3 linked regions of the Canis lupus familiaris genome follow. The protein of the gene in region 2 interacts with the protein of the main gene of each other region in a pairwise test. Links are inferred from orthologs where the notes say so. Each region holds a gene or a part of one and is shown on either strand. Other genes may lie near its edges.

Region 1 (4,519 bases), on a different chromosome or scaffold from region 2:
AAAGTCAGAATGTGGTATTAAAATTTGCTATCAACATACAAATAATTCACACGAGAAAGATTTATCTACTGTTGTTTGAACATATTTCATCCTAATAGGGTCTCTGTTAGGCTCTCATAATTATAAAATGTCTTGTAGAGCAGCATGCGATTATATAATACATATAATTTAGTTGTGAAAAAAAATGTAGTCTCATTAACATCCCAGAAAATAGTTCAGCATTTTAACTGGTTTCAATTATATTTAGGTATATTCATAATCACCTAAATTTATAATAAACAGAGTACATAGTAGACACTCAAATGTTTGTGAAATCAAATATAATCCACTGAAAAATTCCTACAAAGTTGATCTGTCACTTTAAATTGTTTATTTAAAAAATAATCACAAATTAAGTAATAAAATATATTTAGAATGAATAATATTTTATGAATGCAAACTATATAGATGGCCAAGGTATTAAGCTTCCCTGTTGATAAAACCCTGCTGACCTAGCCTTGCCTTTGGAGCAATGGTAAAAATGATACATAATTTATTTTTTGAGAATTTCAATAAAATATATTTATTAGTTAAAAACGAACACAATCTAATTTTTGCCACAACTATCTCTAAAGATTTAGTCACATTTAAAGATCTAGACCGGGAAAAATAAGGGACAGACACCTTGGATCTTTGTAGAGCAAATGCGCGATTAAGGCCTTTCACATTATCCTGATTGAAAAGCTTACACTAGGAAGGGGGGAAAAGCTTTTGCAACCAGGTTAAATGAACATAATTATAGAAGAAAATTCGCCTTTCACAGAAAATAATAGTAATACTGGAAATTGTTTTGAAAGAAAGTTCTTTCTTGAGTTATGACACAACTTCAGAGTCAGGATTATACATACTGAAAATAAACCTTGAGACTCCTGTTTGTGTATGTTTCATTATATAAATTAGGGTTAAGCCACAATAAATGGGTATTAGTATATTGATAAGTGTGCTTAATATAAACAAGATTGCAAAGTTGTATTAAAAATATCAAAACTTTTTGTCAGTCTTCCTGTTCATCAAAAGTCCTGTAAGATCTTATTCTGAACATGGGTTAAATTGCTCATTCTTAGTCAAATTTATATAATCTTTGGATTTTCAATAGGAAACTTTTCAATATATCAAATTTGTAGCATTGTTATCATCATCAAAGCTATTAAAAACTACTAGGTGGACAAAGAAAAAAATTCCTTATCCCATAGAATCTACGTGAAATAACAAGATTAAATAATTTAGTATTTATGCATAAATTTCCTTAATACTGAAATTTTTGCAAGGCCGGTATGTTCTGATTTAAAAATGTACAGACTGAACTTCGTCTGTTAATAGCGTATCTCCTGCTACTTTTAAGTCTAATTCTTGTAAGTAAAACAAAGCATTCTAAAACCTTCTCCCCAATGAATTTTCAAAAACAGCTTCAAGTGTTGCATTTCCGAATAAGAACGGTTTATAAGAACACTATTAGAACTTTGATAAAGCAACTATTTGAGACTACTTTGCCATTTTTCTGTTTCTAAGCCTTTCAACTAAGTTACATGATAATTAACATTCAGAGGAGGAAAAAAATTATCAGGTACAATACTTGGCAGCTGGACATGTTTCATTTCTTGCTTGTAAATCTAATTACTGAAAATTAGAACATACCACCGCATGACCTCAGAGACAAAAATACTACAAACTGAGCTCTGATTAGAAAATTCAACTTTTTATTCCTCCTCAATCCCGAACGGGTGGATGGTATTGCATTAACTGTGAAATGTACATCCTGTCCCTGTGCCCAGGCCACCTATTCCAAACGAGGAAAGGTCGTTTGTCAAAACTTGAAGCATTTGAAGGAAAAACACCCTCGCCAGGAGTCAAGAAAATTAACGTTAAAGCCAATTATTGGAGCAAAGCACGGAAACCACTAATAGCAGAGTATTTACTTCAAATAATAACTATAATAATGTGTTTACAGAGCTGTCTTAAAACACACACACACACAGACACACACACACACACCTCGGCGCTGCTTCGACTACTTTTAAATCCCCACCGTCACAAAAACATTCCAAAAATTAAGACCAAACCTGGAACCCATCTGATATCGAGGATGTCATTGAATTCGACGAGTTTGTTCAAAGTACGTCATTTTTGGGGACTCGGATCCACTTAAAGATATAAAATATGGCAACCAAGTAGGCTTAAAAAACAGTGAAATTCTGTACCCCTGAAAGCTTAAAAGCCGTTATTCCAGAAACCCGGGTCACGTAGGCAACATTGTTGACCTGTTTTCCCCACCTCTCTGGATACCAACCTGCAGCGCAGTCCTTCCAAATCCATTTTGTGCATTGACGTTTACATTATTTTGCAACAAACTAGTAAGTTGCTCTAGGTCCCCCCTGGCAGCTGCAGACGCCAACTCGTTCCCCCAAGGCTCGGCCATTCTTTAGGGTCCTGACGATCGGGAAAAGATGAATTAGTTGTTTTTCTTTTTCCCCTTTCCTTTTGCTCCTAACCAGGCTGCATGATGGCATCGGAGACTGACAGAAGGACTGGGATGGTTAATCTGGAGTAGAGCTTGGTAGTAAATACTAGTAAGATCTGCCTGCCAAAAGCCCGCCCCTCGGTTCACACGTGATTATTCAGCAAAACTGAGCCATTGGAGAGGGGCTCCGCTCCTCGCTCTTTAGCTTAACCCCTGTGAAGAATTCTGGTGACTCAACAGAAAGACACACAGACGTCTATACATTGCCGGCAAATTGCTCTGGACGTAAAATGCTGGCAGAGCTGTCACGTATCTACATACAGGTCTCCGCGAGTCCTGCGTGCGGGGACCTCGGCGGCTAGACCAGGGCGTAGAGCGCCGCGGCAGGAGGGGTTCGGGGGAGAGGAGGCATTAACCCACCCGTGCTCACGGCGGTGGCTGGAGCCGCGCGAGCCAGAACCGCGGGGGCAGGTCCTCGCAGGGCCCGGTCTCCATCCGTGTGCCGAAGGGTCGTGCTGCGCCCGCGGCGGGGAGGGCGCCCGCGGCGGGGAGGCCGGCGCGGAGGCAGACGCCGCTGGCAGTTCGTGGCCCTCAAGCTCTAGGTCCCAACGCTCCTGTGTGGCCTCGGCTGCTCGGGGGAGCCCCGACTCGCTCCGGGCGGCCCCGCCGGCTAACGCCGCGCGGGAGGGCTCCGCGGCCCGCCTGCCGCGCCGCCGCAGCCTCGCCGAGCCTCCCGGGCCGCGGGCGCCGGGCTGCGAGCGCGCCTCCGAGGACGGCCGGGCGCGCGGCGGGCCCCGGGCAGGTCGCTCATGCCGGCCCCCGCGGGTCCCGGGACCCCCGGCGGCGCGAGGAAGGGGGCGCGGGGCGGCCGTGCGGGCCCCGTCTACGCGGCCCGGGCTGCTGGGGCGGCGCGCCGCTGGCTTCCCGCCTACGACCGAGCCGGTCCAGACTTCCCACCGCAGCCTCTCCTCGAACCGCCGCCGCCGGCTCTTCCTTCCTTCCGCGGGTTTCGGGGGACCTCCGGAGGTCGGGAGCGGCCGGGGAAGCGCAGGCCAAGGTCCGGGGACCGGGGGCCGCCGCAACGCCCGAGAGCAGCGGGTCCTGCCCGCCCGTCGGCGACAGCCCCGCGGCTCCGGCCCCGCCGCCGCCCCGCCGCCCTCCGGCCGCCCACGGCCTGTGCCCCCGGCCCGTGCCCCCGGCCCGTGCCGCCGACGGGGCGCGGCCGCCAGCGAACTGTGCCCGCGGCCGAGCCGGGCACCGCCGCTCCCTCCGCAGCCGCAGCGCTCCCGCTGACAGTTTCTTTTGTAGCTGGTCCCCCAGATCGCCGGGCCCCGCTCTCTTCACCCCTGCAGACAACTTGCGCGTTGTCCTCTTTTCAGCTCTTTTCCTTCCCACCCGCCTTGGCTTCTTTTTTCGCTCAAACAATTGCTGCTTCTGTTGCCGCTGCGGAGACGGTGCCGGTTTCTTCTCTCTTTTTTCCGACCTCATCAGCTTTTTTTGAAAAGAAAAAAATTGAGCGCTTTTTGAGTTGAAAAACCCGCCCCCATTTTAACGGCAGAGTTTTAAGGAGGCTCGGCCGAGTTGCAGCGCCGCGGGAGCGGGAGGCCGGGCGCCGCCCACGCCCCGCCCCCTGCCCGGGAGGCGCTCGCGCTCGCGGCTCGCTGGCCCCGCCCCCGCCCCGCCCGCGCCCGCGCCCGCGCCCGCGCCCTTCCTCCCGCTGCCCCGCTCCCCGCCGCCCGCCCGTGCCCTTCCTCCCGCCCTCGCGCTCCCCGCCCCGCTCCCGGCTCCCGGCTCCCGCTCCCCGCTCCCCGCTTCCCCCGCCCCGCTCCCCGCTTCCCCCGCCCCGCTCCCCGCCCCGCTCCCCCCGCCCCGCCGGCCCCGCTGGAGCGGCGTTCTGCCCGGCCGAGCCGGGCTTGGCCTCCCTGAGGCCGGCTGGCGGGATGCAGTCGGCGACTCCAGACCTCGGACTCCCGGAGCCCGGCGGGGGCGGGCGGGGAGAGGGAGCTGGTTTAGGACGCGGGC
Region 2 (4,074 bases):
CATAAAAGAATAAAACTGGACCACTTTCTTACACCATACACAAAAACAAACTCAAGACAGTTTAAAAACCTAAGTGTGAGGGCAGCTGGGGTGGCTCAGCGGTTTAGCGCCACCTTCAGCCCAGGGCGTGATCCTGGGAGACCCAGGATCGAGTCCCACTTTAGGCTCCCTGCATGGAGCCTGCTTCTCCCTCTGCTTCTCTCTCTCTCTTTTTCTCTCTCTCTCTCTCTGGTGTTTCTCAAGAGTGAATAAAAAAAAACCTAAAAAAAAAGAAAACAAAAAAAACTAAAACAAAAACCTAAATGTGAGACCTGAAACCATAAAACTCTTAGAAGAAATCATAAGCAGTCATTTCCCTGACATTAGCCTTAGCAATATTTTTCTAGATAGGTCTTCTCAGGCAAGGTAAACAAAAGCAAAAATAAATTATTGAGACCACATCAAAATAAAAAAACTTTTGCACAGCAAAGAAAACCATCAACAAAATGAAAAAGGCAATCTACTGAATGGAAAAAGACATTTGCAATGATGAATCCAATAACAGGTTAACATCCAAAATATATAAAAGAACTTAGACAACTGACACTAAGGAAAAAAAAACAAAAACCTCAAATAATCCGATTTAAAGATGGGCAGAAGACCTGAACTAACATTTTTCCAAAGACATAAAGATGGCCAACAGATATGTGAAGAGATGCTCAATATCATTCATCATCAGGGAAATGCAAATCAAAACCACAATAAAGTATCATTCACACCTATCAGAAAGGCTGAAGTAAAAAAGACCAGAAATAACAAGTGTTGCTGAGGAGGGGAGAAAAAGGAACCCTCATCCATTGTTGATGGGAATACAAACTGGTACAGTCACTGTGGAAAACAGTATGGAGATTCCTCAAAAAATTAAAAATATGTATACCACATGACCTAATAATTCCACTACTAGGTATTTATGCAAGGAAAGTAAAAACACTAACATGAAAAGACATATGTACTTCTATGTCTACTGCAGCATTATTTACAACAGCCAAGCTAAGGAAGCAACCTAAATGCTCATCAATAAATGAATGGACAAAGATGCAGTAAACACACATAATGGAACATTTACTCTGCCACAAAAAAGCAGATCTTGCCATGGATGGACGAAGAGGGTTTTATGCTAAGTGAAATAAAAGTCAGAGAGAGAAAGACAAATACCATATGAGGAATTATATATGGAATCTAAAAAAACAAAAAGCAGGAGACCCATAAATACAGAGAACAGACGGTTGCCAGAGCGGAGGGAGAATGGGCAAAATAGGTGAAGGGGAGTTAGGAGACACTTCCAGAATGAATAAGTCATGAGGACAAAAGGTACAGCATAGGGAATATGGTTCATGGTATTTTAACAGCATTGTATGGTGACAGATTGGTGGCCACACCTAGTGAGCACTTGCTGAATCATTATGTTGTACACCTGAAACTAATGAAACATTATATGTCAACTACACTTTAATTAAAAAAAAAATAAAACAGAGATGCCTGGGTGACACAGTTAAGCATCCGACTCTGAGTTTCAACTCAGATCTTGATCTTAGGGTCATGATCTCAGGGTCATGAGATCAAGCCTCACTCCCAGCTCCCTGTGGTACAGTCTGCTTAGGATTGTCTCTCTCCCCCTCTGCCCCTCTCCACCCCTCTACACATGCCCATGCACTCTAAAATAAATAAATAAATCTTTAAAAATAATTAATCAAATAAAAATTTTAAGTCTTAAAGAAAATAATCAAAAAAGCAGTTTTGGAGTTGGATCAGAAGTCAAATCTCATCTCTACCATCCATTTTCTTTGGAAACTAACTCCCATGAGTTGTTGTGGACTAAGTTACCTATATTTCTGAATGTCAATTTTTTCACCTGTAATATAATGGGAATAATAATCCTACCACACAGCTAACATGTACTATACTTAATGTGTGCCAGTCACTGTGCCCTGTCACATGGATTATACTACCTTGATGAGTCAGGTTTTATTATTACTGCAGTTTTTACAGATGAGACTACCATGACACAGGGGTGTTAAATAACTTGTCAAAGTCATGCAGCGAATAGGACAGATGAATTTGAACCCAAGTCATTCAGAATCTACACTCATAACAACTATGCTCCACTCACTGCCTCTGCAGTAGGAATTCACATACTTAGGACATTCAGTATGTTGCTAGGCCCAACAAATGTTGTTTTTTTTTTTTTTTTTTTTAAAGATATTCATGATCCATGAGAGACACAGAGACACACACACACAAAGAAAGAGAGAGAGAGAGAGAGAGAGAGGCAGAGACATAGGCAAAGGGAGAACCAGGCTCCATGCAGGGAGCCCAACGTGGGACTTGATCCCGGGTCTCCAGGATCACGCCCCAAGCTGAAGGTAGGCACTAAACCGCTGAGCCACCCGGACTGCCCTATTCTGTTCCTTTCTTCTGTTCCCCAAGATACTGGGAAAAGCCAAAAGATAAGACACTGGCTACAAGACTCAAACTGTAGTGGATCACTATTTATCACCTCACTATAAAATATCACCAGTATTGTAAAATATAATATTTGCATTATAATTAGAGCAATAATAATTAACAGCTCTTTTCGTGGCCCATGGTAGGACTACATTTCATGCCCTGACTTGTACTGGCAGTGTGATTAATTCTGGACAAGAGTTGAACAGAAAACATTCCAGGCTAGAATGTTTAACTGATGTGTTTAAGACCCTCCGAAATGCCTCCTCTGCAACACTGATCAGCCTATGGTGAAGAGACTTCTGCTGACTTGAAATGAACACCAAATATGAGAGACATAAATCTTGTTTGAGCCAATGAGATAACCGAGCCCACCCTGATTGATAAAATAAACCATCCATCTTCTGTGAACTAATGTTTCCTGTCACTTATATTAATATAACCAAGAGCTATAACTTGGCCCATATACTACATAATACTACATTAGTAGGTACACTGGACAAATAAACAGTACATATTTACCTAAGGTCCTTCCTACCCCAAGAGCAAGGCGAACATGAGATAGTTTAAGGTGCCTTTTGATTCGATCAATCATGGTTGCCAAGGAAACAGATTCATCCAGTGTGCACAACCGTCCCATTCCAGTGTGTAGAAGCAGAGGCTGAAGAGAAACAGAAGTTAGAAAAACTGTCCATTTCAGTCCTAGAAAACAAACAGCAAATGCTGAGGACAATAAAATATGCACTGTGAGCTTACTATACCCAGTACCAGGCTAAAGTTTGGTTATGCAAAATGACAAAAACATTCTCTGATTTCTAGGAGCTCAGTGTTCTGTAAAGGCAAATGTTTAGTTAACTAACCACAATAAAAGTGCTTAAATACAAGAGAGGTACTATTTTATGGGAGCCAAAGCAATGACAAAATAAATGAGCTGGGAGTTCAGGTGGGAGTACTTGGAGGAAGTGGAATCAAAGGCTTTACGGACTTGTGTTTCCCAGACCAGAAAAAAGTTTAAAAAAAAAAAAAAAAAGAAAGGAGTGATGTCAGGTGCAGTGTGGTAGGAAAGGGATAGGTGAAATGTGTAAAGGCATGAGCTCAGACACTATAGCTGGTGTGCAGAGCAAGGGATGGGGACAGAAGCCATAGCTAGTCATGAAGGGCTTTGTACATTATGCTAAAAATCATGGGCTGTCTCTTGTAGGGGCTCACTAGCAAGACTACTCATGTCCCAGATGATGAAAGATCAGAATTTCAAGTACTATGGTGACAAAGCAAATAAAGAAGAGAAACAGTTCAGACTTGGGGACAAACTAAGCAGGGCTTGGATTTAGGAGAGGCAAAGCAGGTTGCAGAAACTTGGAAAGTAAGGTAGATGATGATGCCATCAATGAAATAGAAAAAATATGTAAAGGGTTGATGTAGGGGCACCTGAGTGGCTCAGTCAGTTAAGTGTCCAACTGTTGATTTTGGCTCGGGTAATAATCTCAGGGTGGAGCCTGCTGAAGATTCTTTCTCTCTCTCTGCCCCTCCTTCCAAACCCTGCTTTCACGGGTGCACACGTTCTCTCTCAAAAATAAATAAATAAACAAA
Region 3 (4,308 bases), on a different chromosome or scaffold from region 2:
ACTAGAGTCAAGCAGAACTATTTTCCAGGCTCGTGATAAGAATGTTCACTGAGGGGGGGGCGGCGGGGACTAACCCTACGCCTTGCCCGCAGCCGCGCCGCCGCGCCCTCTGCGCCCCCGCCCGCGCCCCCGCCGCCCCGTCGGGCCAGCCCGGCCTGATGGCGCAGATGGCGTCCACGGCAGCCGGGGTGGCGGTGGGCTCGGCTGTGGGGCATGTCGTGGGCAGCGCCCCGACCGGAGCCTTCAGCGGGGGCAGCTCGGAGCCCGCCCAGCCCGCCGCTCAGCAGGCCCCCACCCGCACTGGGCCCCAGCCCCTGCAGATGGGGCCCTGCGCCTAGAGGTCAGGCAGTTCCTGGACTGCTCCACCACTCAGAGTGACCTGTCCCTGTGTGAGGGCTTCGGCGAGGCCCTGAAGCAGTGCAAGTACGACCACGGTCTGAGCTCTCTGAGCCCCCTGCCCTGAAGAGACAGGTACGGACTGGTGCGGATCCCTGAGCCAACCCTGCACCCACCTTCACCCCTTCACCGACAGCCGGACCATGACCTCAGATTGTACCCATGTAGCTGGGATTGGGAATGAGGAGGGGGGTTTCTCACCCCACAGATGACCGGAGACGCAAATGTGCAATTAAAAGAGTTTATTTTAGACCATTAAAAAAAAAAAATGTTCACTGAGCGCAGGTGTAGCTTACCAGGGCTTTGCCCCGCACCCGCTGCGCACACAGCAAGTGCTTAATAACTGGTGGCTTCGAGGGGAGGATTAGAGATCCCCGTATATAGGTCGTTTCATGTTCTTGAGAAGGGGTCCGTGTAGGGGGCCCAAGTGGCTCGCGGGTCCAACGCAAGAGGGCACAGCGTCCCCGGGGCGGACGCGGCTCGCGTTGTTTTGTTTGGAGGGACGAGTGGCACGCGGCCAGGGAGGCGCTCGGCCCCTTTAAGAGTCGAGTGGAATGTATCAAAACAGAAAGGCCGCGTGCCCATTGGCCGCGCGCCGCACGTGACCTCACAGCTGATTTCCTGGCCCCCCTCCTTTTTTTGTTGCTGCCGCCGCCGCGGCCGCCGCCGAGTGTCAGTTTCTGCGCCGCCGCCTGCGGTCCCCCGGCCGTCCCGCGGCCCCCCCCCCCCCGCCGCCGCCGCCGCCGCCCCGCCGCGGGCCCGCGCACCTCTCCGCGCGTCCGGCCCCGCCGAGCCGGCTCGGCCCGAGGGTCCCGGCGGCCGCTGCCGGCGCTGCCCCGCGCGCAGATGGCGCACTCGGCGGCCGCCGTGCCGCTGGGCGCGCTGGAGCAGGGCTGCCCCATCCGCGTGGAGCACGACCGCCGGCGCCGCCAGTTCACCGTCCGGCTCAACGGTAACGCGGCGTCCGGCCCGCCCCCGCCTTTTGTCTGCGAGCGAGCGGGGCCCGCCGAGGCCGCCCCCTAGCTGGGGCGCGCGCCCTCGGCCCCGGGCCCGGGAGGGGCGTCGCGAGCGCGCGCCGCGGGGTGGCCTCCGCGGGGCCCCGCTCCGCTCCCGCTCCGCCCCGCGCTCCGGGAGCAGGCCACGCGCTGTGCCCGCGGGCGAGGCGGGGGCGCGGCCGGCTCGCGGGGCAGGGGTGGGGGGAGGGGGCCCCGGGGCAGGCAGAGGTCCAAGCAGGGCCGGCCCGGGTCCTCCGCCGCCAGCACCCAGCTTCAGGCCGCAGGGGACCCGCACCTGCTCCAGCGCCGCCGTGTCCCGGTGTTGGACACCCCCTGGGGGCTGTTGTGGGAGTCCTGGAGAGTGAGTCCACCGTGACCTCCTGCCTCTCCCTGGTGGCCACACGGCTTCTGGCCGCCCCTGGGAACTTTAGCTTTTCTGCACCCGGGTTGGGGGCATCTCCTGGGCAGACCTGGGGTGAGGGAGAGAGGGGTGTCTGCTTCACGGGGGGCGGGGGGGGGGGGTGCGATAGAGGGGAAGGTGTCACCATCGGTCCGTTGGCTCTGAGACTTTGGCCAAGTGACCTCCACTCTGTGTGCCCCGGTTTCTCCATCTCTACAATGGGAGTGACACCAGTGCACACCTGAGCCCTGGTTGGAGGGACAAAATGCTGTAATAATGAGAGTAAAGAAGCCTTAGAATAGCCCTGGCAGAGCAAGTGCTGCTCTACTGATGGTGGTTTTGAAAACCAGAAAGCAAAGTCTTCATTTCCTGTAAAGAAAGTTTCCACCACTTACTAGCCTGTGCCCCCTCCTGGCTAAGAGGTCTGAGGGGACAGAAAATAGAATGATAAGATCTAGGATCAGGAGCTCTCTATGCACCCCCTCTCTGCATTAATAACTTTTTCTTCCATCCCAGCTGGGCCCCCCTGCGGCAGTGTCCAAGCCAGAAGGGCCCTCAGAGGCCATTGTGCCCATTTCTGACAAGGGAAGACAGAGGCTCGGCGAAGGGAGAGGCTCGCCTAAGGTCAGGCAGTGAGTTAGGGCAGAGCTGGGATAGGATCCCCCCTAGTGTGAGCCCTGGAGCTGGGCTTATCCAGCCTGTACTTGCACGGGAAGTCAGGAGGGGCTGGGGCAGGGACAAGGACGGACCGCATCCCTGCTACAACATCCCCTTCATGTGGGCATTCTCACCCCACGTTACGGATGAGTAAACTGAGTTTTGAACGGTAGGGGAGGAGTGACCCCCCAAAGTGCCAGAGCTCAAGCCCAGGCCCGACTGACCAGGCACCGTGTTCTTTCCGTGTGGACGCAGGTTCTTCCACCACTGTGGTGCTCACTGTGGTCCAGGTGACCTTGACACTCCAGTTGGCCACTTGTGTGGAGGGTCCTTGTGGCTTTTCACAGCTTCTTTTCTGAGGTTCCAGGGAGGCCTGTGTTTCCCTAGGGGCTCAGGAGGTTCCTCTGTACAGTCAGAAAGTTTGGGGTTTTCCTTTTTGTTGCCAATCAGTCCAGCCAAAGGACACCCCTCCAGGATTGGCAATGGTCAAGGCTGGATGTGCCTAGCCGTTTTTCTAACCTTGTCTCCTGCCCTTCCCTGAATGGCTAACTCCATCATGGACTGGGGCTCCCCAGCCAAGCCCAGGGAGCAGTGGGAGGCCACCAGCTTCTGTCCAGCCTGGGAGGGGGGTCTGGCTGTGTATATGGGGAGTAGTAGGGTGAGAGCATCCATGTCTGGGCCTGGGCCTTTCCTCAGCTGCAGAGGGTAACGTCCTGCCATAGAGCCCCCCGAACAGCAGGGCAGGCCCTGGAGACTAGCTCAGGGTGCCTACCGAGGGAGGTGAATGCTCAGCCTGAGAGCCAGAGCAGCCTCTGGGGCCATCCCCCTGGCAGAGCTGTACCAATGAGTTTCTAGCGAGCTCCGCTTGTGGGCGATGGCAGAGGCTGAGCCACTGCATCCGAGTCCTTGCGTCCCGGGCGGGTTCTGGGCATGTGGCGGGGGGGGGGGGGGGGGGGGGGGGGGTGAGGGGAAACTGCTCTTCCTGTTTTATAGATGAGGATCCCTAGATACAGGGAAGTGACTGGCTTGCTCAGGGTCTTGTACTCAGAGGTGGGAGAACTGGGATCCCTCACACAGGCTGTTATTGAGTGCCTACTGTGTACCAAACATTGTTCTAGGTGCTGAGTACTGGTAGGCTGACAGTCTAGACGGGCAGTAGACAATATGTGAAGTGTCAAGTGTCCTAGAAGGCAAGGGCCTGGTTAGGCAAAGGCTGCTGCCTAGAATCCAGGGTCCAGGGGGGCCACTCTGGGAACGTGCCAGTTACTTAAAGACCTAAAGGAGGCAAGAAGGGAGAGCTCCATCAGACAGAGCACTCCAAGTGGAGGAGGCAGCAAGACCGAAGGCCCTGTATGTCATAGGTGGGGACACCAGGGCACATAGCCAGTAGGCATCTAAGGCAGCACTGAGCCCCTGTCCCTGGGAAGTCCCTCCTTGGCCTTAGCTCTGACCTCCCAGCCAGGGCTGAGTGTCCCACGTGTTGCAGGGAGGAAGGTCATCTGGGTCCTAGAATCCTGGTGCTTTCTGCATGCTCCCTGATCCCCAACCCTGGGGCAGGGTAAGCCCTGACTTCCAGTCCCAGCTCTGCCGAGTGACCTCAGGCCAGCCAGTCCTGACACCTCTGTGTCCCAAGCACTTACCTGTCCCTCCTAGGACACTTGCTACACCCTCCTGGACCTCAGAATCACCTTGAGATCATGAACTGTAACTAGTTTTGAGAACAGTTAAAGCTGCTCCACTAGTGAAGGCCCTGCCCTGAGTTTCTCCACTCTGGTACCCTCCACCCAGCCCCAACTCAGCCCCAAAGTCCCCGGGGAAGTTATCAGGAGAAGCAGTCACTGAGAAATTGTCTTCCCTGGC

The links. The genes of interacting proteins can lie anywhere in the genome.
Region 1: the proteins of NIF3L1 (region 2) and CDKN2C interact in binary tests that used the Homo sapiens proteins (3 or more experiments, as listed by UniProt). The two-hybrid records come from large-scale screens. The link is inferred for Canis lupus familiaris from reciprocal best matches to the Homo sapiens genes NIF3L1 and CDKN2C.
Region 3: the proteins of NIF3L1 (region 2) and NATD1 interact in binary tests that used the Homo sapiens proteins (3 or more experiments, as listed by UniProt). The two-hybrid records come from large-scale screens. The link is inferred for Canis lupus familiaris from reciprocal best matches to the Homo sapiens genes NIF3L1 and NATD1.

Annotation. Positions count from the first base shown.
Region 1 is NC_049236.1:10,264,077-10,268,595, forward strand, and holds the start of CDKN2C (cyclin-dependent kinase 4 inhibitor C), read right to left. Parts: upstream 3,088-4,519; 5' UTR 2,918-3,087; intron 2,467-2,917; 5' UTR 2,456-2,466; coding exon 2,327-2,455; intron 1-2,326. UniProt on the Homo sapiens protein: Interacts strongly with CDK6, weakly with CDK4. Inhibits cell growth and proliferation with a correlated dependence on endogenous retinoblastoma protein RB.
Region 2 is NC_049258.1:9,947,664-9,951,737, reverse strand, and holds part of NIF3L1 (NIF3-like protein 1), read right to left. Parts: intron 3,146-4,074; coding exon 3,007-3,145; intron 1-3,006. UniProt on the Homo sapiens protein: May function as a transcriptional corepressor through its interaction with COPS2, negatively regulating the expression of genes involved in neuronal differentiation.
Region 3 is NC_049226.1:42,920,762-42,925,069, reverse strand, and holds the start of NATD1 (protein NATD1), read left to right. Parts: upstream 1-1,221; 5' UTR 1,222-1,242; coding exon 1,243-1,348; intron 1,349-4,308.